3 linked regions of the Tamandua tetradactyla genome follow. The protein of the gene in region 1 purifies or fractionates together with the protein of each later gene. This does not show direct contact. Links are inferred from orthologs where the notes say so. Each region holds a gene or a part of one and is shown in the gene's direction. Other genes may lie near its edges. The genes, in order: ATF2, CEBPB and ATF1.

Region 1 (8,601 bases):
AGGCTTTTCTTTGACAATTGGTTCATCAGTATTTTCCAGCCGAAACAGGCCCAGGAACCCACACTGAGGGAGCAGACCAGTTCCAAAGGGCTCTGAGGATATGGTCAGGAAAGATGCCAAAAAATCCTTTATTTCAGCTCCCCAAGGGTGCATTTTCCTGGCTTGCCCATCAGATGGTGCTCTTTGGTAATCTATTCCCCGTAGTCCTAAAAGGGCAGGGTATTTTAGCCCCCTGCCAGCTTCATATCTCACCCAGGTCAGAACAGTGGTATGGAACATCTGTCCCAAACAAGCTAAAGCAATGGGTCTCCGTTGTCTAAATTTGCCGACCAGTAAATAGTATTTTGAGATATTGGGCTGATTTCATTATTCAGATCCTTGTACTCTTATGAATGTGATATCAAGAAAAATCTGTGATGCTCATGTTTTCTTTCAACTTTGAAGAGTTTCTTCAAAACTCTTGGGTGAAGGACATATGCTATGTCCCTGTGGGTGGGAAAAAGATTCAAAACTGCTGCTTTCCTCATTAAAGCTGGACTTATTTTTTTTTCTGTCACTTGTAATGTGTTTGACTTCTTTGATGAATGAACTGAATATAAATGAGGTAACAAGATGAGTGAACATTATGTACTAAATAAACTTTAGTATAACATCAAATCTGTGGGTTAAAGATTAATTGAAAAATCATTTGTCTAAAAGTTTAAATATGTAGTTCATGCTTTCTGACTTTAAAAATAAAGAAAATCATAAGATTAGGTATTAGTTAAGCCTTAGGACAATGTACATTTAAAGTCAAAGTAAAACATTAAAATTTGTAATAAGCAACAGATACTATTTGGGTGCTGTGTACTGTACTATGTATTTTACATGTATTATTTTAATTTATTCTTTTTTTATATCTCCCAAACTGGTGAATTCATGTTTTATTTCTTACTGGAGAGGTTCTTAGTGAAATTATATCATGTAAATTTTTCCTAAAAAAGGTACTCAAATGTAATTTAACCTTGAGAAGAAGGAATGAAGTCCTACTAACTCATAGGTTCTCAATCTCCTGGGTTTAGGTTTGTTTTTATGATCATATTGCTGTTCCAAAGGTGGGCTCTAGGATCATTTAGCTTGCTTTTGTGGTACTTAACTACAATATAAGAAGGAAATTATAGCACGGAGAAAAATGTGTCTATAGGGTGCTGTTGCTTTGAAGCCATGGGACACTAGCCTATTCAGCTAACGGCACCTTAAAGTTTTTGTTCACTTTATTAGTTTTCTCTTGCTGCCTTACAAATTACCCTAAATTCAGCAACTTAAAACACATATACAAAAACAGCTCACAGTTTTTATTTTTGTTTTTTGATCTCACAGATTTTGTGCATTAGAAGTTCAGGTAGACTCTGCTGCATCCTCTGCTTAGGATCCAAACAGGGCCAAAAGAAGGATTTGACAGTTTTGTATTCTTTATAGAAAGCTCTGGGGACGAATGTGCTTCTAAGCTCATTCAGTTTGATGATTGAATTCAGTTCTTTGTACTTGTGGAATTGAGGTCCCCCTTTCCTTGTTGGCTGTCAGGGAGTTGGGGAATGGACTGGTCTTTGCTCCTAGAAACTGGAATGCTTCACATCTGGCACCCTCCAGTAATGACGAGTTGAATTCTTCTCATGCTTCTAATTTCTCTGACGTCTTTTTTTGAATTTGTCTGACCCCTCTCAGAGAAAGGTCTCTGTTCTTAAATTCTCATGTGATTAGATTGGGCCCATCTCTGTAATCCAGGATGATCTCCCTATTTTAGAATCTGTAGTCTTTTTACTTAAGCATAATCCCTTTTGCCATGTAACAAACATAAAACATATTCACCAGTTCCAGGGATTAGGGGATGGACATCTTTGGGGAGCCATTCTGTGTAGTACATTCATATTCCTGAATAGAAATTTGATAAACTTTGTATCCTTACACATTTCTAAGTTTATTTCTAAAAGTTTTCATCACATATTTAAATAGTTACAAAAAGTAGATTTTGTACCTTTTCTAAATAATGGCACCACTCATTTATAATTAAATACCAGTGATCACATACTGTTGTTTTTTTTTTTAAAAACTCAAATGAGTTTATCTTCAACAGTTGGACATTTTTATGTTCCTTTTTCTTATTTAACTCCTATTTTCTTTCCATTTCTCCAACATAATTTTATTTGAATCCAGTCTGTGTTTATGTTTTAAAGTATTTTGTTGATAACCTTTTCATACTCTGCTGTATATACATTTTTTTTGTTTTTCAAAGTTTGGATGATAATCTAATGTTGCGTGTGTAAGACAGGCCACATACAGCTGGCTTAGTCTGGTTTCATTTTGTTTGAGGTGAAGATAAGACCACAAGTCCATCTCACTGTTTTCTAACAATGGATTGTTTTGTCTGTTCCTGATCTTTTTTAAAAAATATTTTTATTGTAAACAACAAACAAAAAATACAAACATTCTTGGCATACAAACATTTTTGACATGGTTATAATCAGTGGTTCACAATATCATCACATAGTTGTGTATTGATCACCATCATCATTTTTTTGAACATTTGCATCTCTCCAGCGAAAGAAATTAAAAAGAAAAAACTCATATATACTATACCCCTTACCCCTCTGTATTAGTTAGAGTTCTCTAGAGAAACAGAATCAACAGGAAATATTCATAAATATAAAGTTTATAGAAGTGTCTCATGTAACTGTGGGAACGTAGAGTCCAAAACCTGTAGGGCAGGCTGTGAAGCTGATGATTCTGATGGAGAGTCTGGACAGACTCCACAGGAGTTGTTGCCGGCCACAGCAGGAAGAGAGCTGTCTCTTCTGAATCCTCCTTAAAAGACTTCCAGTGATTGATTAGGTTAAGCATCATTCATTAAAGAAGACATCCCCCTTGGCTGATTACAAATGGAATCATCTGTGGATGTAGTCAACATGATCATGATTTAATTCTATGAAATGTCCTCATAACAGACAGGTCGGCACTTGCCAAACCAGACAAACAGTTACCACCACCTGGCCAAGTTGACACATGAACCTGACCATGGCACCCTCCCTCTTGTTGACCATTAGTATTTCAATCTACTCAATTTATTTTAACCTTTGTTATTTATTAATTTCTTATCCATATTTGTTACTCATCTATCTATACCATAGAACATCAGACACAAGATTTTCACAATCACACAGTCAGTTAAAAAGCTGTATCATTATACAATCATCTTCAAGAAACATGGTTACTGAAACACTGCTCCACAGTTTCAGGTACTTCCCTCTAGCTGCAATAATGTACCATAAAGTAGAAAGGAGATATCTGTATAATGTGTTAGAATAACCTCCAGGATAACCTCCCAACTCTATTTGAAATCTCTCAGCCACTGACACTTTATTTTGTCTCATTTCTCTCTTCCTCCTTTTGGTCGAGAAGGTTTTGTCAAGCCCTTGATGCCAAGTCCTAGCGTCCTAGGATTTCTGTCCCATGTTGCCAGGAAGGTTTATACCCCTGGGAGTCATGTCACATATACAGGTGGGGAGGGCGGTGAGTTTGCTTGCCATGTTGGCTTAGAGAGAGAGAAGTTTTTGAGCAACTGTTGAGATAACAACACAAACCTTTCCTTACAAATAAGTCCACTGAAAGCCAATACCTAGAAAATAAACATTTATGTGAAGGAAATAATTTGCAGAAATTTATCTCTACCTAGAAGATGTTCAGTTTTACATTGTCCCATAGAGCTGTTTGTCCTTTGAATTGCTACTCCGTTTATAGTCTCCATTTTACGTTTGTATAACTAAATGTCCAGTTCAGAAAATTTTGCCTTTAGGAAACAGGAGTCTGTATATAAAATAATTTTGTTGTCAGCTTGAAATGAGTATCTTTTTAGCTTTTGGCATTCACATAAAAATTTCAAACTGTTTCCCTTTAGCCACTCTAATACACCATAAACTAAAAAGGAGATATCTATCTAATGTGTAAGAATAACCTCCAGGATAACATCTTAACTCTTTGAAATCTCTCAGCACTGACACTTTATTTTGTCTCATTTCTTTCTTCCCCCTTTTGATTGAGAAGGTTTTCTAAGTCCCTTGATGCTGAGTCCCAGCTCATTCTAGGGTTTCTGTCCCATGTTGCCAGGGACAGGGACACCCTTGGGAGTCATGTCACATGTAGAGAAGGGGAGGCAGTGAGTTTGCTTACTGTGTTGGCTGAGAGAGAGAGAGGCCACTTCTGAGCATCAAAAGAAGTTCTCTGGGAAAGACTCTTAGGCCTAGTTTTAAGTAGGCTTAGCCTATTCTTTGTGGGGATAAGTTTAATAGAAACAAACCCCAAGATTGAGGGCTTGGCCTGTTGATTTGGTTGTCCCCACTGCTTGTGAGAATATCAGGAATTCTCCAAATGGGGAAGTTGAATTTTCCCCCATTCTTCCCATTCCCCCAAGGGGACTTTGCAAATACTTCTGTATTCACTGTACAAATCCCTCTGGGATTTATCAGGACATCACACTAACTTGGACCAACCTACAAAATCTCATGCCCTGTCCAATGTTCCATGTACTGTGGTCACACTCAGGATTTTGATGCTGAGATGCAGCACTGCCTTTTCACCTAACATCATGCCTTCCTCCTTACCCCCCTATCTATCATGGTGAAAAACTTCGTATATCTGCTGTGTTTCACCAAGGTTCTATTGTCTTACTTCCCTCCTTGAAAGTGTCATTCCTTTGATATGTTGCATGTGCAAGGAGTTATGAGAGGCCACAAGATAAATACCTTCCTTGAGCATTAAAGATTTTGGAGGGAACATATTATATTAAAAAATAGGGAATGGAAGGGAAAATTAACATTTTTTTTTTAAGATCCAACTTCTACCTTTTTATTTAAAACTTTAATTTGGTACTCTATGTACAATTCAGAATTTCCCATTTTAATCACATTCAAGTGTATAATTCAGCGGTATTAATTGTGTTTACAATGTTACCATGCATTTTAAAATATAGAATAAGGAAAATACTTTTAAAACTTCATAGTGCAGTTGTACTGCATGAGGCTATTCTTTTAGATCGTGCAGGTTAATGAGTTCACTCTTTTCTGCCTATCCTTTGCCCTAAGGATACTTAAATGGAAACTTTGGAAGCTCTGCTTATTTGATAAGAGAGGAGTGATTCCTGGCAGCAGAGTGAATATAAAGCTCATGGCCCACCAGCCAGAAAGGTAAGAGATTTTAAATTTTATTTTTTTAAACATTAAAATATTTATTTTAAGGAATTGGCACAGATGATTGTGGGGGCTAGCCAGAAATTACAGCAAGAATTAATGTTGCATCAACGAGTACAGCAAAGTGGCAGGTTACAAGATCAACATTCAAAAATCTGCAGTATTTCTATACACTAGTAATGAACAATCGGGGAAATCAAGAAATGAATTCCATTTACAATTGCAACTAAAAGAATAAAATACTTAGGAATAAATTTAACTAAAGAGACAAAAGACCTGTACAAAGAAAACTACAAGAAACTGTTAAAAGAAATCACAGAAGACCTAAATAGATGAAAGGGCATACCGTGTTCATGGATTGGAAGACTAAATACAGTTAAGATGTCAAATGATTTACAGATTCAACGCAATACCAATCAAAATCCCAACAATTTACTTTTCAGAAATAGAAAAACCAATAAGCAAATTTATCTGGAAGGGCAGGGTGCCCCGAATTGCTAAAAATATCTTGAGGAAAAAAAACGAAGCTGGAGGTCTCACGCTGCCTGACTTTAAGGCATATTATGAAGCCACAGTGGTCAAAACAGCATGGTACTGGCATAAAGATAGATATATTGACCAATGGAATCGAATAGAGTGCTCAGATACAGACTGTCTCATCTATGGACATTTGATCTTTGATAAGGCAGTCAAGCCAACTCACCTGGGACAGAACAGTCTCTTCAATAAATGGTGCCTAGAGAACTGGATATCCATATGCAAAAGAATGAAAGAGGACCCATATCTCACACCCTATACAAAAGTTAACTCAAAATGGATCAAAGATCTAAACATCAGGTCTAAGACCATAAAACAGTTAAAGGAAAATGTACAGAAATATCTTATAAATTTTATAATTGGAGGCGGTTTTATAGACCTTACACCTAAAGCAAGAGCACTGAAGAAAGAAAGAAAGAAATGGGAACTCCTCAAAATTAAACACTTTTGTGCATCAAAGAACTTCATCAAGAAAGTAAAAAGACAGCCTACACAATGGGAGACAATATTTGGAAACGACATATCAGATAAAGGTCTAGTATTCAGAATTTATAAAGAGATTGTTCAACTCAACAACAAAAAGACAGCCAATCCAATTACAAAATGGGAAAAAGACTTGAACAGACAACTCTCAGAAGAGGAAATACAAATGGCCAAAAGACACATGAAGAGATGCTCAATGTCCCTGGCCATTAGAGAAATGCAAATCAAAACCACAATGAGATATCATCTCATACCCACCAGAATGGCCATTATTAACAAAACAGAAAATGGCAAGTGCTGGAGAGGATGTAGAAAAAGAGGCACACTTATTCACTGTTGGTGGGAATGTGAAATGGTGCAACCACTGTGGAAGGCAGTTTGGCGGTTCCTCAAAAAGCTGAATATAGAATTACCATACGACCCAGCAATACCATTGCTAGGTATCTACTCAGAGGACATAAGGGCAAAGACACAAACGGACATTTGCACACCAATGTTTATAGCAGCATTATTTACAATTGCAAAGAGATGAAAACAGCCAAAATGCCCATCAACAGACAAGTAGCTAAACAAACTGTGGTATATACATACGATGGAATATTATGCAGCTTTAAGACAGAATAAAGTTATGAAGTATGTAACAACATGGATGGACCTTGAGAACATTATGCCGAGTGAGAATAGCCAAAAACTAAAGGACAAATACTGTATGGTCTCGTTAATATGAACTGACATTAGTGAATAAACTTAGAATATTTTGTTCATAACAGTGACCATCAGGAGATAGAAATAGGGTAAGATATTGGGTAATCGGAGCAGAATGGATACAGACTGTGCAATAGGACTGGATACAAAAACTCAGAAATGGACAGCACAATACTACTTAACTGTAATACAATTATGTTAAAACACTGAATGAAGCTGCATGTGAGAACAATAGAGGGAGGAGGGCTGGGGGCATAAATGAAATCAGAAAGAAAGATAGATGTTAAAGATTGAGATGGTATATCTAGGAATGCCTAGAGTGTATAATAATAGTGACTAAATGTACAAATTTTAAAAATGTTTTTGCATGAGGAAGAACAGAGGAATGTCATTATTGCAGGGTGCTGAAAATAGATGGTAATTAATATTTTAAAATGTCACCGTATGTGTGAGACTAAAGCAAAAAATGTTTATTAGTTAAAAAATTTTTATTTTGACTAGTGCATCTCGTAATACAACTTATGTAGATAGTTTGATTGAATGCCATAAGTACCTGGAATCTCACGTAGGACATGAGATTTTGCTGGTTTGTCCAGAGTGATGCCCCAATGAATCCCAGAGTGATTTGATCAGTGAGTGGAAAAGTATCTGCAAAGCCCCCTTTGGGGAGTGGTGAGAACAGGGAGAAATTCAACTTCCCCAAGTTGAATTCTTGATATTCTCACAAGCAGTGTGGACAACCAAAGCTGCAGGCAGAGCCCCCAGTCTTGGGGTTTGTTCATATGAAACTTAACCCCGCAAAGGATAGGTCAAGTCTACTTAAAATTTAGGCCTAAGAGTCACCCCCAAGAGAGCCTCTTTTGTTGCTCAGATGTGGCCCCTCTCTCCAGCCAACACAACGAGCAGTCTCACCACCCTACCCCTCTCTACGTGGGACATGACTCCCAGGGGTGTGGACCTTCCTGGCAACGTGGGACAGAGATCTTGGAATGAACGGAGAGTCAGCATCAAGGGATTGAGAAAAACCCTAGAATGAGCTGAGATTTAGCATCAAGGGATTGAGAAAACCTTCTCGACCAAAAGGGGGAAGAGTGAAATGAGACAAAATAAAGTGTCAATGGCTGAGAGATTCCAAACAGAGTCGAGAGGTTATCCTGGAGGTTATTCTTATGCATCAAGTAGATACCAGTTGTTATTCAAGATGTAATGGAGAGGCTGGAGGGAACTGCCTGAAAATGTAGAGCTGTGTTCCAGTAGCCATGTTTCTTGAGGATTATTGACTAATGATAGAGCTGTCACAATGTGACTGAGTGATTGTGAAAACTTTGTGTCTGATGCTCCTTTAATCTACCTTGTCAACAAATGAGTAGAACATACGGAATAAAAATAAATAATAGGGGGAACAAATGCTAAAATAAATTTAGTTTAAATGCTAGTGATTAATGAAAGCAAGGGGTAAGGGGTATGGTAGGTATAATCGCTTTTTTTCTTTCCTGTGTTCGTTTTATTTCTTTTACTATTGTCTTTTTATTTTTTTTTCTGAATTAATGCAAATGTTCTAAGAAATGATGAATATGCAACTAAGTGATGATATTGTGAATTACTGATTATGTATGTTGTTTTTTTTGTTTCTTTATTTTTTAAATTAATAAATAAA
Region 2 (7,691 bases), on another chromosome or scaffold:
GGGGTGGCAGCTGGTGGGTCAGACGGGTGGATAGTGTCCTGGGCGGGCCTCCAAATCCCTGAACACCCCCAGCACCTGTGTGTACGTGTGTGTATGTAGGGAGTGGGCAAAGGTGGCCTGCGGTGGGCTCCCGAGTGGGTCCTGGGGAGGGAGCTGGCACCCACCTCCTCAGGCAGGGGCCGGCTACAGTCCCCAGAGACGTGTGGTGTGGGCAGCCGGAGGAGGTGGGCAGTACTTTGCTTGGACACTTAGCGACATCGTCCCCGCACACTGCTGCAGCTGGAGACGAAAGGCAGGCCGTTACGGGGGGATGACCCGAAGCAGAGGTGTGGACACAAGGCTGCGGCAGACAGCTTCCTGGACTCCAACGGACAGCGACGTCCAACGTGTCCATGGTGACCTCCCCCATCATAAGGGGTTGCAGGTCTCCCTCCCGCCCAGCCTCGGCCCCCAGGTAACCACATGTGCAGCCCCTCCCCTCGACCAACAGAATGGGACAGAGGTGGGGCTGCGTGTTTTAGGCTTAAGCCTTCAGAAAGCCTGGAAGCTTCTGCTCCTGTGCTCTGGGGGATGTCAGCTGCTATGTAAGGTGTACAGTGGCCAGGAGACCACGTGCTGTGGTCACATGGAGAGAGCACTCAGAGAGCCATAAGAAGAGGCCACGTGAAGTCCATACAGAGACACCACATGCAGAAGCACCAGTGCAGAGGCCACGTGAGTCCCTATGGAGAGGCCATGTGAGAGATTCCTGTGGAGACACCACATGTGCAGGGGCTGCAGGTGAAGCCACGTGGCGAGGAAGAAACTCCCCGTGGGAAAGGAGAACCGAGGAGCCAAGGAGCCGATGTAGATGTGCGACCAGGCAGTGTCAGCTGTGGAGCTGTCCTGCGTGGATGCCACGCCTGGGACGAAGAAGCCCCCTTGGGTGTTCCCGCCTGCAGACCCCACGGCGCAGAGAGGAGCCGCTTCCGCTGTGCCCTGTCCCAGTGCCTGCCCATGGGCCAGGAGCACGTGAACTAGTTGTTGCTTCAAGCCCCTAAGTTTTGGGGTGTCTTTTTACACAATATCCAGAGCACCCCAGCCCTAGGCCTCCACTGGTGCCAGTTTCTCGTGCCCCTTCCCGTGGGAGTATCTGTATCGTCAAACAGCCTGCTCTTGGCTCTACCCGCTTAACGACAGACCTTAGAGACTGTTCTAGACGTGCTGGCCGGACTCAGCCCGGACCACGAGGCTAAGGTCAAGTTCATAAAAATTAAATGCAATGTGCTGGCCACATTTCAGGGGCCCCTCGCCTGTGTCCGGTGGGCATGTTCATTTCTTCAGTGGCCCATTTGTGGGCATCGGTCACCCGCTGGACTGACTCTGACCCAGGCCCCGGCGACGGAGCCGGCACGCCGCCCCTGCAGTTCCGGAGGCGGCCACCCGGGGGCAGCACGCACCCAGGCACGTCTCGCTGGCTGCTTCGCCGCCCTCAGGGAGGGAACCCCGCTTGGCAGATGGGGAAACTGAGGCCGCAGAGATGAGCATGGTGGGGGAAAATCACGGACACTAGAATCAGGGGATCAGCCTTCGCGATCCTGGGGCCTCCCTGACCTCTGCCTGCGTCCCCAGTACCTGTTTGTGACCTCTGGGGGTTAGAGATCTGATTTGGCCACGCGGGCGGCAGGCCCAAGGTCCAGCAGAGGACAGCGAGCCCCCGTGCAGGTGAGGGACGAGGCCCGGAGGGGACACCAGGCCTGGCCAAGGTGCCGCGTAGGGAAGGGCCCCGCCCACCAGCCCCAGCCCCACTGAGCCCCTAGCTAGCGGCAACCCCCCCAGCTGCATCCCGCACCCCCCTGCTGATGTCCGAGCCCCTTGCAAACCCTTTCCCCTTCTCCCTCACAGCTACGGCCGGTCCCCTTGGGTCAGCAGCCTCGGTCTTTTCCCCCTGAAAATGGAGCCAAGGGAGTGGGGGGAGGGGTCTCAAGGCAGTGGAGGCCGTCAGGCGGGCGTCCGTGGGGCCCTGCCCACAACTTCTGCTTTTAAAAGTGTAGCTGGAAATTTGAATTTTGATGTGAGGTCTGCTGGACTTTAAATGTTGGCCACAAATCCACTAAGAAACACAAAACACCAGCACCCACCGCGGGGCCTGACGGACAGGGTTGAGGTGGGCCATGGCTGCCCACAAAGCCGGTGCAGGGCGCAGCTGGGCAGGGCGCTGGGGGGGCTCCACCTGGGTCCCCCGGCCCCACAGCCACCCTGGTGGGTGCCGGTGGGGGTCCTCCTGCCCCCCGTTCCTGGGGGACCAGTGGAGCGGTGCGGTGGTGTAGCTGACCAGGGCACCCGCAGGGCAGGCTCGACCCGGTGGGAGCTGCCACGAGTTCAGCGGCGTGGGTGGGGGAGGCAGGGAACAAGGGCTTTGGTGGTGAAGTTTTTCACGGAGGCCAGCGGGCTAAGAAACCCGAGAGGGCTGAGTCCAGTGCTTTGGGGCTGGTCCCCAGGTTGCCCCCTAACTCTCTGTGTGACCCTGGGTCACCCTTCTCGGCCTTGGTTTTTCCATCCAGAAAATGGGGCTCGCATCATGCAACCTGTTACAGCTTACTACAAACCCAAGGGGAAGGTGAGACTGGAAAGACTGCAGCATTTCCCACCCTTTCATGTGACCCTGAATAGGCACCCTTAGCTTTGCTGGGCCTCAGTTTCCCTTCTGTTAACTGGAGGTGTTCCCTTCTGTCAACCTGCATCCTACAAATTATGGGGACAATTAAATGAGCCAGTATATGCAAGGAGCCTAAAACGTGGTTCTGAGAGGGCAGCAGATTGGCCTGAGGACACACAGTAAACCTCCAACCAGCTGGAGGCCTTCCAGGCCCCGCACCTCCCCAGAACCCTGAGGGCCAGGGGTCTGAGAGAGGAGCCCCTGCCACATGCCACCCTGCCCGGCCAGTGGAGGCCCCTGCTTCTTCTCAGTCCCCTTCATTCATTCATTTGCATTTCTTAGGCACCTACTGTGTGCCCGGCATGGTTCTAGACACTGGGGGACAGCAGTGACCCAAAAGACAAAAGTCCCTGGTCTGCAGGGGGCTGCCATGGGGAGGAGGTGGCGGGGACAGAAAGCACGATGGGCAGGTGAGAGAATTTTGAAGGTAACCAGAATGGTGAAGGAAATGAAACAGGAAGGGGTGAGAGGAGTGATGAGAGGTGGGGGCTTTGGACCAGGAAGTCAGGGAGGGCTTTTCAGAGGTGACTTTGAGGTGGGACCTGAAAATAAGAAGGAACTGCCTTGGGCAGAGCTGGGCAACAGTGTTCTAGGTTCCAGAGAACGTGGCAGAAGCCCTCACTCATGGGGCAGTATTGAGCATGCTGGGCCCAGGAGCCAAAGCTGCCACTGCCTGCAGACAGTCTTGGGGGAGGGGGGGTGGGGGTGGGGGTGGGGGGGTGGGGGTGGAGGAAGATCCAGGAAGACCAGTAAATAGGCTACTAGGATAATGGCGGCTGGAGTTAAGGGCTGTGAAAGGTTACCAGGGGATGCAGCAGGGAGGGCCTCTCGGAGGCGGTGGCCCTAAGCTGAGCCTGAGTGTACCAATTTGCACTCAGGAGCCTGGCTGGGCGGCTCTGGGGAAACCACCGCCAGCCGCGGGGCCTTGGATCCCTCCCTGGCTCAGAGGCTGCTGGGAAGGCACAGGGAGCCAGCAGGCCCATGTTTCACCCCCTCCCCCACCCGCCAAGGGCGCTCAGAGATGTCATTTCTCCAGCTCTAGGGGGCGGAGGTCACTCAGCTCAGCAGATAACGCCTAAAGTTGAGCAATGCCCGCCGCTGGGCCAGGGCTGGGGTCAGTGGGACGGGGGTCAGCCCCAGGCAGGCCGAGCTTCTGCTGGGGCGGCAGGGATTGGGAGAGGCAGGGGGTAGGCCCAGAAGTAGGGTCAGTGAGGGTGAGGGGCCCCTGAGCCCCTCAGTGGGGCACCCCGCCGGGACCACCTCTCCAACTGTGGAGTGGGGGCAGCAAAGCGCCCTCCCCCAGGGTTCTTGGGTGAAAATGTGAACGCCAGACCAGGCGCACCCTGAAAATGCGGAGAGACCCCGCTCCATCCCACGTGGCCCACAGCGAGGCCCGACCTGATCACCACCGCCACCCCCAGCCTCAGAACCAGTGGCTTTTGGGCCTCTGGGATTGGCAAAAAGGTCTTAGGGCGCTGGACGGGGGGGCCCTTGTTAGGGGGTGAATGGGGGACAAGAGGCTGGGGGCTCGACACGTGCCACGCCCCCTCCGGGCTTCCCCTCTTGGTGTCCGCTCTGGGGCTCAGAGCAGCCTTATCTTGGGGACTCTGGGGTGGGGACAATACAATTAATCAAAGAAAGGACAGCTCAGAGAAGGGAAGCGACTCTTCCAAGGTCACTCAGTGTGTGGCACAGCATCCCCTGCACCCCCTCCCCAGTACCCAGGTGGAGGTGGAGTATCCCGGGACGGGAAGGTGGAGTGGGCGGGGCTGGGGGGACCCCACCAGCCGGGTCCTAGCAGCCGCAGTGCCGCGAGCAGCAGCCACCGGCGCGAGCCCCGGCTCCTTCCCGCGGCCGGGGCCGGGGCGGGGGGCGGGGGGAGCAGGTTGGGGGGCGGGGAGGCGCCCGGGGAAGGGCGGTGGAGAGGGGGCGCCTCTCCAGGGCCCGAGCGGGGTTCGAGGTCTCCGGGGCCGGCGGGGCGCGCTCCTCCGCAGCAGCGCGCGGGCGAGCCTGAGGCCGCGGTGTCTCCCGGCAGGGGGCAGGCGGCCGCCGCGTTTGTAGCGGGGGAAGACGCTCCCGGCGCCCCCTCCCCGGATTCCGCCCCCCTCTAGCGTGGCCTTCGGCCCGGAGGGGGCGGTCCGGGGGCGGGATCGCGCCGCCCCGTCTCGCTCCCAATCGCGGGGCCGCGGGGTCCGGGTGGGCAGGGGGCGAGGCCGCCCCCCGCGGCCGGGAGCCCCCCGAAGGGGCGTGCCCGGCCCCAGGTCGGGCCGCCGCGCCCCGCCGCTGCCCTCCCGGGGGTCTCGGGCGGCTGCGGCGGTGGCCTCCGCGTCCCGGCGGCGGCGGGAGGGGCCGGGGCGGCCGCCAGGCGTGACGCAGCCGTTGCCATGGGCCGCCTTATAAATAACCGGGCTCGGGAGAAACTTTAGCGAGTCAGAGCCGAGCACGGGACTGGGAAGGGGACCCATCCGAGGGTCCAGGCGCCAGCCCCCACACCAGTAGCGGCCACCCCGGCAGCGGCGGTAGCAGCGACAGCGGCGGCAGCTCGGAACCGGGAGGCCGCGCCACCTGCGGGCCGGCCGGAGCGGGCAGCCCCGGGCCCCCTCCCCCGGCACCCGCGTTCATGCAACGCCTGGTGGCCTGGGACCCAGCATGTCTCCCGCTGCCGCCGCCGCCCGCCTTTAAATCCATGGAAGTGGCCAATTTCTACTACGAGTCGGACTGCTTGGCTGCTGCGTACGGCGTCAAGGCGGCCTCCGCGGCGCCCCCCGCGCCCTCCGCGGCCAGGCCCGGGCCGCGCCCCCCCGCCGGCGAGCTGGGCAGCATCGGCGACCACGAGCGCGCCATCGACTTCAGTCCGTACCTGGAGCCGCTGGGCGCGCCGCAGGCCTCGGCGCCGGCCACGGCCACCGACACCTTCGAGGCGGCTCCGCCCGCGCCCGCCTCCGCGCCCGCCTCCTCCGGGCAGCACCACGACTTCCTCTCCGACCTCTTCTCCGACGACTACGGGGGCAAGAACTGCAAGAAGGCTGCCGAGTACGGCTACGTGAGCCTGGGGCGCCTGGGGGCCGCCAAGAGCGCGCTGCACCCCGGCTGCTTCGCGCCCCTGCACCCGCCGCCGCCGCCGCCACCGCCACCGCCGCCGCCCGCCGAACTCAAGGCGGAGCCGGGCTTCGAGCCCGCGGACTGCAAGCGGAAGGAGGAGGCCGGAGCGCCGGGCGGCGGCGCCGCAGGCATGGCGGCGGGCTTCCCGTACGCGCTGCGCGCCTACCTCGGCTACCAGGCGGTGCCAAGCGGCAGCAGTGGGAGCCTTTCCACGTCCTCGTCGTCCAGCCCGCCCGGCACGCCGAGCCCCGCCGACGCCAAGGCGCCCCCGGCGGCCTGTTACCCGGGGGCCGCGCCGGCGTCCTCGCAGGTCAAGAGCAAGGCCAAGAAGACCGTAGACAAGCACAGCGACGAGTACAAGATCCGGCGCGAGCGCAACAACATCGCCGTGCGCAAGAGCCGCGACAAGGCCAAGATGCGCAACCTGGAGACGCAGCACAAGGTCCTGGAGCTCACGGCCGAGAACGAGCGGCTCCAGAAGAAGGTGGAGCAGCTGTCGCGCGAGCTCAGCACCCTGCGGAACTTGTTCAAGCAGCTGCCCGAGCCCCTGCTCGCCTCCTCCGGCCACTGCTAGCGCGGCCCCCGCGCGCGGCCCCCCGCCGCCAGCCTCGCGCCTCCGGGAAGCGCCCGCGCGCCCGCCCCCGCTCCGGGCGGCGCCGGCAGAACTTTGGCACTGGGGCGCTGGGCAGCGCGGGGAGCCGCCGGTCGTTTTACTAGTTTATTATATCTAGCTCTCTCTATTTTTTTTTTTTTTTTTTTGGCCAAAGCGACCGCCCCCCAGACGGGGCGCCCGCCCCCCGGCCCTCCTGGAAGGGGAGACGTCCGTGTGTCCGGATGAACGAGAAACTCTGCTTCTCCCGCGGCTCCGGAGTTGATGCAATCGCCCTAAACATGGCTGAAGGCGTGTGTCCGCGGACTGACGCAACCCACGTGCAACTGTCAGCCGGGCCTGAGTAATCGCTTAAAGATGTTCCTACGGGGTTGTTGATGTTTGTTGGTTGGTTTGTTTATTTTTTTGGCCTTTTTTTTGTATTATAAAAAAAAAATAATTCTATTTCTATGAGAAAAGAGGCGTCTGTATATTTTGGGAATCTTTTCCGTTTCAAGCATTAAGTAAGACACTTTTAATAAACTTTTTTTTTTGGAGACGAGTTGAAAAAGCCTTTTGGGGGCAGTAGTTGGTTTTGGATTATTATTCACGTTTTGATCTTTCTTGTGGGTTTATTTGATTTGGCTTTGTGCTTTGCTGCTGTGGGGGCGTCCTTGTGTGCGTGTAGGGGGCTGCTGATGTTATTTTTGGCTTCTTGGAGGTTGGGTGTGGGTGTGGCAGCTGGGGTTTCTCCTCCCCTGCTGCACCCCAAGGTCTGTGCTTGGAGATGGGGGCGCCGGCCTGGGGGAGGAGTGCTGGGTCAGGCATTTTGGAGTGACTCAGTGCCCCTGGGTGCTGAGGACCCGTGGCTAGGAGCCCTGCTTGGGGGGTGGGGTGGGGTGGGTCTCTGGGGAGTCAACTTGGTCCTGGGCAGCAAACCTGGGTTTGGGGGGGTCCTTGAGGTCTGTGGCCCACACACTGTCTGGAGGCGGGGCAGGCGGCCAGTGGCTGCAGGAGGAAGGGGCAGACTTTGAAGGTGCTGTGGGGTGCGCTGTTTGAAAATTTGTGAGTTTGCGTGTGTGTGTGTGTGTGTGTGTGCGCGCGTGTTTGTTTTTAAGAAAGGAGCCTGGGTGTGTGGGCCAGTCTGAGTTTGTGTTCCCCCCGCCCGTGGGAGGGCAGCAGCCTGGCCAGGTGCGGGGGGGAGGGGTCCTGCACGCCTTACCTGGGCTGGACGACTTTACCCTCCCCCTTTCTGCCCACATGTGGACGCTGTGCCCCGGCCTCACCTGTCGGCTCCGGTAG
Region 3 (8,093 bases), on another chromosome or scaffold:
GAATACCCTTCTATGGCCTGCCTACATTGCATTGCTAAGCAACACTGGGCAACCTCTTGTGTTTCACTGTGGTAATGTTATTTCCGTCTCTGGAGTCGTGTAGTGGTGTTTGCTGTTCTGGGGGGGTTTGTGTGGCTAAAAGCCACTCTAGAGGGGATGTTTAAAGAATTGTCAGATGAAAGATTGACGTTGGATGAAGTACATTTTTGTGAGGGATTTGGCATGTCATTGAAGTATTTCCTAATAATTTTCCCCCCAAATTTCCAGATTTATCACTTAACTATATATTAATCTGTTCCAGAGACCTATTAGATGGTCAGTACCTCTTACTGATGGTTGCTGGTTTAACAGATCCATTCCTTTCTGAAGTTTCAGGACACTGTTTGAAAACAGGGGCTTCTGTACCAGTCATAATTAGGAGAGCATAGCTTTTGTTTTTCATGAAAAGAAGAATACATAGTACAATACCATAAGGATTAACTAAAACCCTAAAAATAAAAAATTTAAATAGAGTAATTACCATATGACCCAGCAATTCCACTCCTAGGTATATACCCAAAAGAACTAAAAACCAGTACTCAAACAAATACATGTACCTGCCTGTTCATAGCAAAACTATTCACAATAACCAAAAGGTGAAAATAGCCCAAATATCCATCAATGGATGAATGAATAAACAAAATATACAATCAGATATTAGTCACCCATAAAAAGGAATGAAGTATTGAAACATGGTACAACTTGGATGAACCTTGAAAGCATGCTAAGAGGAAGAAATATTCCATTTACATGCAATATCTGGAATAGGTAAATCTATACAGACAGAAAGTAGATTGGTGGTTGTCAGGGACTGGGCGGTGCGGGGAGGGTGGGGTGGGAAGGAGAGGAAATGGAAGGCATCTGCTTAAAGATACAGTGTTTCTCCTTAGCGGAGATAAAAATGTTTTAGAAGTGGATAGAAGTGATTACAAAACATCCTGAATGTACTAAATGCCACTTAGTTGTTTACTTTTAAATTGTTAATTTCATGTTATGTGAATTTCACCTCAAAAAAAAAAAAAGGTGTTGTCCAGCCCTAAGGTGACCTTCCCTCTTGAACTCTCCAAAAGCTTCATAATTGCAGCATGCTCTGGCCAACATCAGCCTCTAAAGAAGACTTCTCTTAATAGCTGAATATTTGTTTCAAGCTGTTTTACTACAGCTCTGTGGCCATACTCTTGTAGGTAAGTAAATAACTTTTTCATTATGCAATCCAGCTAACACAACCAATAACCAGTACTTGCACATTATATGGTTTTACTAGTGAAACCAAGTAGGAGACTGCTGCAATATACATTGAAAGAAGTAATGATGGCTTGGACTAAGGTAGTGCAGGAAATATAGTGAAGGGGAGGAAGTCACAGGAAATTATTCCTCCTGTACTCAGCTATATTTGTTAGGACTCTGAAAATAACAGCAATCAAGGTAATCTAGTTTAAATAGAAAAAGAGCTTTTCAGTTCAGTGACCAAGGGTGGCCCATTGAACCTAAAGACTGTGGCAGGCAGCTGTACCTCAGGCAGTTTCTAGAACTGGGGTCTAGAAAGCTATTGGATTGCTCTCTCAATCTGCATCATTTGTGGATGGAAAATGCCCACTACACAAATTTTAGGATAGTTCACACTTAGAGACTAATTTTTGTCCAAGTCATAATCCTTGGGGGAAGATGAGACTCAGATGGCTGAGTGTGAGTGAGATGCCCATTGTTAAATGGATCTGGATGACCTTAAAGAATACTTTTCGTAAAGAGGGTGAGCTAGATGGACAGCCCTGCAGTTGTCCGCTACTCCAATAGCCTCACAGATTAGTTCTCTGGAATCAATTCAAGCTTTGTTAACATTAGGCAGTGAATAGTGTCAGAGCTAACTTATCTGGGACAACCCTGTTTCAAGGTGTGTTACTTGAAATAGTGGATTGTAGTTTATACACTCCCTGCAGCTTAGGACCTATCCTTGGTTAAGTTTTCCTGTGTTTAGACTTGAGGAAAAAGGACCAAAAAAAAAAGGCTATTTTATAGGCCAAAAAGTTTGTATTCATTAACTTTAAATAATTTCTGCTTTTTTTAGAGGTGCGCTGTTCCAGACACTGTTTTAAGGCTCTTAAATCCTCTACTCCAGCTCAGTCCCTTTGTAAACCCATTAGGTTTCTCTTAATTAGTGGCCACTTAGTGTTTTCCAGCTGTTTCCAGTTAGTTACATTGCAGTGTCTTCCAGTATAATAGCTAACATTATTCAGTGCTTACTCTGTGCAAGGCACAGCTTTAACTTGACACGTATTGAACTCATTCAGTCTACAAAAACTGTGGGATATAGGATTAAACCCATTTCATAATAATATTCTTTTTCGTAAATAGAAAAAAGTGCCAGAAGAGCTAAGGAAGTGCTAACCACCATCCATTCCTTTGGACTCTTGAAACTTAGGTTTTTTCCACTTTATTTCCTCATTTTTGAAGTCAAAAACCTGTCCATCTGGTTCACAAATCTTTTACTATTTTAACAGGAACTGTGTGCATAAGAACCAAAATCTTTTTCCTTCCTTTACATTCAGTTATTCCTCATAATCCAAAAAATAGGAGGAACAGCCTGTGACACCACGAGAAAGAACGAAGAAAGGTGAATATATTTGTGAGTGACAATGTTGTACAAAAGTAACATTTGATTTAGACTTAAGGAATTTTACAGGTGGAGGAGGAGCTAAAGAGGGAGTAGCTCAAGCACATTTTGAAGGTTTCTTGTTACAGTAAAACTTCGTTTCTTTTTATGGTAGCATTTTTCATTCCCCACTCCTTTTTTTACTGTTCAACATTTGTTAAGCATTCTGTTCCAAGGGAGCACAAAGGGGAAACAACGAAACACAGAACAACTGGTACAACCAGCTTTCCAGATCATTTTTCTGGATTCCAGAATGATAGAAGCTGGACTCGGTTAATCAGAAAAGGCTGCTATGTGACCCTCTTCCCGACCCCTTACCTTAATAAGGCAATTTGCTTTCACATATGACATCCTGATTACTTCAGTAATGTGGGACTTCTGGGTATTACACTCTTCATTTCCTCAGAGACGTTGGATAATCTGCCTAATCAAAAACCTGGTCCTCCTAACATGAACAAAGAAGGGCAATGACCTGTTCTAGCTTGTTTAGATGGTAATCGACGTTTGCTGAATGGATGGCAATAACTAAACGTTATGAGAGCTCTTATTGCAGAATAAACCCTTTAACTTTAAACCACATTTTCTGGCCTCAAAGGGTCAAAAACAGGAAAAGCTCTCTACTAAACCAGTGTCCTAGCATCCCACATCTCAAACTTGTAAAATTTTTTTGAGAAAAGTTTCTGGAACATTTTGTCAAGTAAGAGATTAGTTGTTTAATGTCATCATAAAATCATAAAGAACATTTTGCAAGAAAATGAATAAGGAAAAAAAATTATGAAGCACAGTCCCCAGAATGCCTTCCCCCCCCCCCCAAATTAGTCAAGGCACACATTAAAAAATATTTTGTAACATATTAAGAGGACAGCATAACATACTATGTTACGACACTGAAACTGAATTGAACCTAACTTTCCTCTTTACAGTTTAACAGTTTGGGGAATCTATGTTCCACAGTGCCCACGAAATGGAGCTCAAATACCCGACTGGCACCTTTAAAAAAAAATCAGTCTGTGTAGAAAATTCTACCTCATAAGGATGAAAAAACACACTTCTTAACGCTGTTTTGTAGGAATAAGAATAGTCTGGGTGAACTCAGAAAACCCAAGGAAGACAAGTCTCCTCGCTTCTCCCTTCAAGATGTTCAAGGTGCGATCACTCAAACTAGAACACACAGAAACTGAAGCTGAGAGGGATGCGATTAGCCAACGACAACTGCCCCACACTAAATGGCTTAATATCACTAAGCTGGTGAGGCCCTCTGGCAAGAGACGTGTAAGAGAGAGCGGCCAGGGTCGTGATGGAAAGATCCTCAAGAAAAAAAAGAACCCCAACCCGTTTTCACGTCCAACTCTCACCAAGATAACATCTTCAAGCACACCAACTCGCCGGTCAGCGCGAGTATAAAAATGGCGGCGCATCACGTGATCGACGCGGTGACGTAGTACGGTGGCCTTCACGGGAGGCTAGCCTTAACTTCACTCCCCACGCTCATTTACACTCAGTTTCCCCCCTTCCCTCCCCCGCCCCCAGCCTGGTGTAGATTATGCCGCCAATGGCGGCCCTTACTGCCAGTTGGCTGTAAAGTGACACTGATTCTCCCCCATCCATCTGACCCTTGAGAAAGAGACACGTCCCGCGCAGCGTGAGGGGTTGGGAAAGGGGCTAGTGAACTCGGATCCACCCTGGGAGGGGGGGAGTGGAAGTTCCCGTCCCGGACAGCGGCGAGGCGGCAGCCACAGGTAAGTGGGGGGCGGGAGTGGGACGTGCTCCCGTAGCGTCTGGCAGGTAGAGGGGAAAGTCGGGGCGGGGGTCGCGCGCCGAAGCAGCGGTGGAGGAAGGGCGCGGAGGGAGCGCGGCGGAAGGGGGAGGGGCTGCCGCTGCGGAGGCTGTCCGCGTTCCCTGGCGGGGCGCGTTTCCTGGCGGGGCGCGTTTCCGGTTCGCGCGCCCTGGCTCTCCGTTGTACCCTTCCGGTTATCGCGTCTTCTGCTCCCCCTGATCCCCAAAGTAAAAAAAAGTAATAAAATCTAAAACCTCCCGCTGCAGGGTAGCTTTAACCTCATGAGCCTCCCCTGCGCGGTTGAAGGCAAGGGTTCTCCATTGGAGGTCTCGGGGCTGGGGTCGGGTGCCGGAGGGAGGGCAGCTTGGCCTTGGGCTCGGTTCGGCGTCATCCGAGCGGCGTCCGGGACCAGTTGACCCCACTCTGGGCGCCCTTTGGTTTAACTAGGCTAGGAGTGACAGAGGGGTGGTACCCCCCGCCTCGCGCCCTCCCCCGACAATGATCAAACCGAGGAAACTTTCCCTTCAATTTTCTCCCTTATTATAAAACTAAGTATGGTATTTTACAGTTTCAACCATGCTGTGATTTAAATTTATTGTAGATTTTCAGTACTGTTTAGCTAGCTTTTGCGGAGCATTGAACTAATAGTCTTTGAGAGCCCTTAAGCTTCTGAAGCTATTTCTACATAGATTTGGCAAGCATCTTTGTCAGACAGGCCTCAGCTATGATAACAGTTTCTAGGGTATTTACAAAATACATTTTATCCTGAGAATTTCTTTACCCAAAGAAATACGTAGCTTTTTGTTAAGATGCTGTTTTCTCTGTAGGCTTTATATTGTACACTTAACTTACTGTCTCAGTTTTATTCAGTACTGCTTCCTAAAGTCGAGTAAATATGTTAGATCTTTATTATTTGTAATTATTCTTTAGGGTAATGTTTGGTCTGTGATGTATCTGTGCAGTACCACTATATACCAATAGGTGGTAGTCCCTTCTGAAAATTCTTTTTTCACAAGTCATACCACTTATTTACAAGGTTCCAGCGTTGGGCAGTAGGGTATATCTTGTTCTTGAATCGTTGCATTTTTAAAGCTGGGATGAAGTCATTGTCTAGAAGTATATATATATGTATAGATATATAGACTGAACAGTTTTGTTTACACACCGTACAAACCATCCAAAGTGTGCAATCAGTGGCTTTCAGTATAATCCTTTTCAGTTTCTTCTTTGACCCACCGATAGTTTTAAGAATGTGCTGTTTAACATCTATGTATTTGTGAGTTTTCACATTATCACCTGCTAATGATTTCCAGCTTCATTCCGTTATGATTAGAGAACGTACTTTGTATGATTTCACCCTTTTTAAATTTATTGAGACGCGTTTTATGACCCAGCACGTGGTCTATCCTGGAGAAGTATATCATGCTGTTTTGAGCTGCAGTATTCTGTGAATGTTTGTTAGGTTTAGTTCATTTATCATATTATTCAATTTCTCTGTTTCCTTATTGAATTTATGCTAGATGTTGTATCAGTTGATGAGAGTGGTGTATTGAAGTCTCCATTTATTATTTTAGACTGCTTCTTTCTTCAGTGTTGCCAGTGTTTGCCTTATGTGATTTGGGGCACCTTAGTTAGCATAAACATTTATGATTGATTTTACTTCTTGGCGGATTGATTTTACTTCTTGGTGGATTTCCCCTTTTATTAATAAATGATATCCCTTCTCATCCCTTATAACATTTTTGCATTTAAAATCTATTTTGTCTGATAATAATATTACATGGAATATCTTTTTCCAGCCTTTCACTTTCAACCTAGTTGTATCCTTGGGTCTAAGGGGAGTCTCTTGTAGACAGCATATAGCTGGATCATATTGTTTTTCTTTCTTTCTTTTTTTTTTAAACATGGGCAGGCACCGGGAATCGAACCCCGGCCTCCGGCATGACAAAACTCTGCCACTGAGCCACCATGGCCCCCCCTGAATCATATTATTTTATCCATTCCACCAGTCTGTGTCATTTGATTAGCAAGTTGAATCCGTTAACATTCAATGTTATTATTGTAAAGGCATTACTTACTTTAACCATTTTATCTTTTGGCTTTTATTTGTCAAATCTTATTTTTGTCTTTCTTTTTACCTTTTTAGATACTGATAATCTTTATTTCTACACTCTCCTCCAAGCCTCTCTTTCCTATTTTTTGTGGGTGTGGCAGTTTTAATCACACATCATACAGTCCATCCAAAGTGTACAACCAATAACTTTTGATATAGTCACAGAGTTATAAATTCACCACCACAGTCAATTTAAGAACATTCTCTTTGCTTCGGAAAAAAAAAAAAAAGAAAAGATTCCATATCCTTTATTCCCACCTATTATTGACACTTAGCTTCGGTATAGTGCCTTTGTTATAATTAATGAAGGAATATTACAGTGTTACTGTTAACTTTGTTCCTTTGTTTGTATTAATTGCATTTTTTCCCTTACACCACCTATCACTAACACCTTGTAATGTTGATATACATTTATACTAGTTCATGTAAGAATTTTCTTATATTTGTACAATGACCATAGTCATCATCCACAACAGGTTTCACTGTGTTATACAGACCCATGTTTTATCCTCTAGCTTCCCTTCTAGTGATGTGCACGACCCTAGACTTCAACCAGACTCATATTCACCATTTTTAATTACACAAATAGTATTGTGCCACCATCACCTCTATCCATTACCAAACATTTACAATGAATCTTATTAAATATTCTGTACAGATTAAGCATCATCTGCCCATTCTCTAACCTTTTTTTTTTTATATTTTAGCATTTGTTCCCCCTATTATTTATTTTTATTCTATATGTTCTACTCGTTTGTTGACGAGGTAGATAAAAGAAGCATCAGACACAAGGTTTTCACAATCACCAATCACACAGTCACATTGTGAAAGCTATATCATTATTCAGTCATCCTCAAGAAACATGGCTACTGGAACACAGCTCTACATTTTCAGGTAGTTCCCTCCAGCGTCTCCATTATATCTTGGATAACAAGGTGATATCTACTTAATGCATAAGAATAACCTCCAGGATAACCTCTCGACTCTATTTGGAATCTCTCAGCCATTGACACTTTGTCTCATTTCACTCTTCCCCCTTTTGGTCCAGAAGGTTTTTCTCAATCCCTTGATGCTAAATCTCAGCTCATTCTAGGGTTTTTCTCAATCCCTTGATGCTGAATCTCAGCTCATTCTAGGGTTTTTCTCAATCCCTTGATGCTGAATCTCAGCTCACTCTAAGATCTCTGTCCCACGTTGCCAGGAAGGTCCACACCCCTGGGTCTAACCTCTTTTTATCTCCCATTAACCTATACTCTAGATTTTAACTCACAGAGTTTAATCATTATAATTAGTCCATATTAGTGAGATCATACAATATTTGTCCTTTTGTGTCTGACTAGCTTCAGTCAGTATAACGTCCTCAAGGTTCATCCATGTAGTCATGTGCGTCATAGCTTCATTTCTTCATACAGGAGCCTAATATTCCCATCATATGTATATACCACATGTATCCATTTATCTGTTGATGGACACCTGGGTTATTTCTATGTTGGCAATTGTAAATAATGACACTA

Evidence for each region.
Region 2: the proteins of ATF2 (region 1) and CEBPB purify together in Homo sapiens (affinity purification with western blotting; 3 studies listed by BioGRID and IntAct, with this or other methods). This does not show direct contact. The link is inferred for Tamandua tetradactyla from reciprocal best matches to the Homo sapiens genes ATF2 and CEBPB.
Region 3: the proteins of ATF2 (region 1) and ATF1 purify together in Homo sapiens (affinity purification with mass spectrometry; 3 studies listed by BioGRID and IntAct, with this or other methods). This does not show direct contact. The link is inferred for Tamandua tetradactyla from reciprocal best matches to the Homo sapiens genes ATF2 and ATF1.

Annotation. Positions count from the first base shown.
Region 1 is NC_135329.1:147,334,743-147,343,343, reverse strand, and holds the start of ATF2 (cyclic AMP-dependent transcription factor ATF-2), read left to right. Parts: upstream 1-5,111; 5' UTR 5,112-5,196; coding exon of another isoform or gene 5,197-5,216; intron 5,217-8,601. UniProt on the Homo sapiens protein: Transcriptional activator which regulates the transcription of various genes, including those involved in anti-apoptosis, cell growth, and DNA damage response.
Region 2 is NC_135327.1:2,603,997-2,611,687, reverse strand, and holds CEBPB (CCAAT/enhancer-binding protein beta), read left to right. Parts: upstream 1-5,042; 5' UTR 5,043-5,318; coding exon 5,319-6,374; 3' UTR 6,375-6,946; downstream 6,947-7,691. UniProt on the Homo sapiens protein: Important transcription factor regulating the expression of genes involved in immune and inflammatory responses. Also plays a significant role in adipogenesis, as well as in the gluconeogenic pathway, liver regeneration, and hematopoiesis.
Region 3 is NC_135333.1:111,991,648-111,999,740, forward strand, and holds the start of ATF1 (cyclic AMP-dependent transcription factor ATF-1), read left to right. Parts: upstream 1-4,392; 5' UTR 4,393-4,428; exon of another isoform or gene 4,429-4,492; intron 4,493-4,619; exon of another isoform or gene 4,620-4,703; intron 4,704-4,850; exon of another isoform or gene 4,851-5,018; intron 5,019-8,093.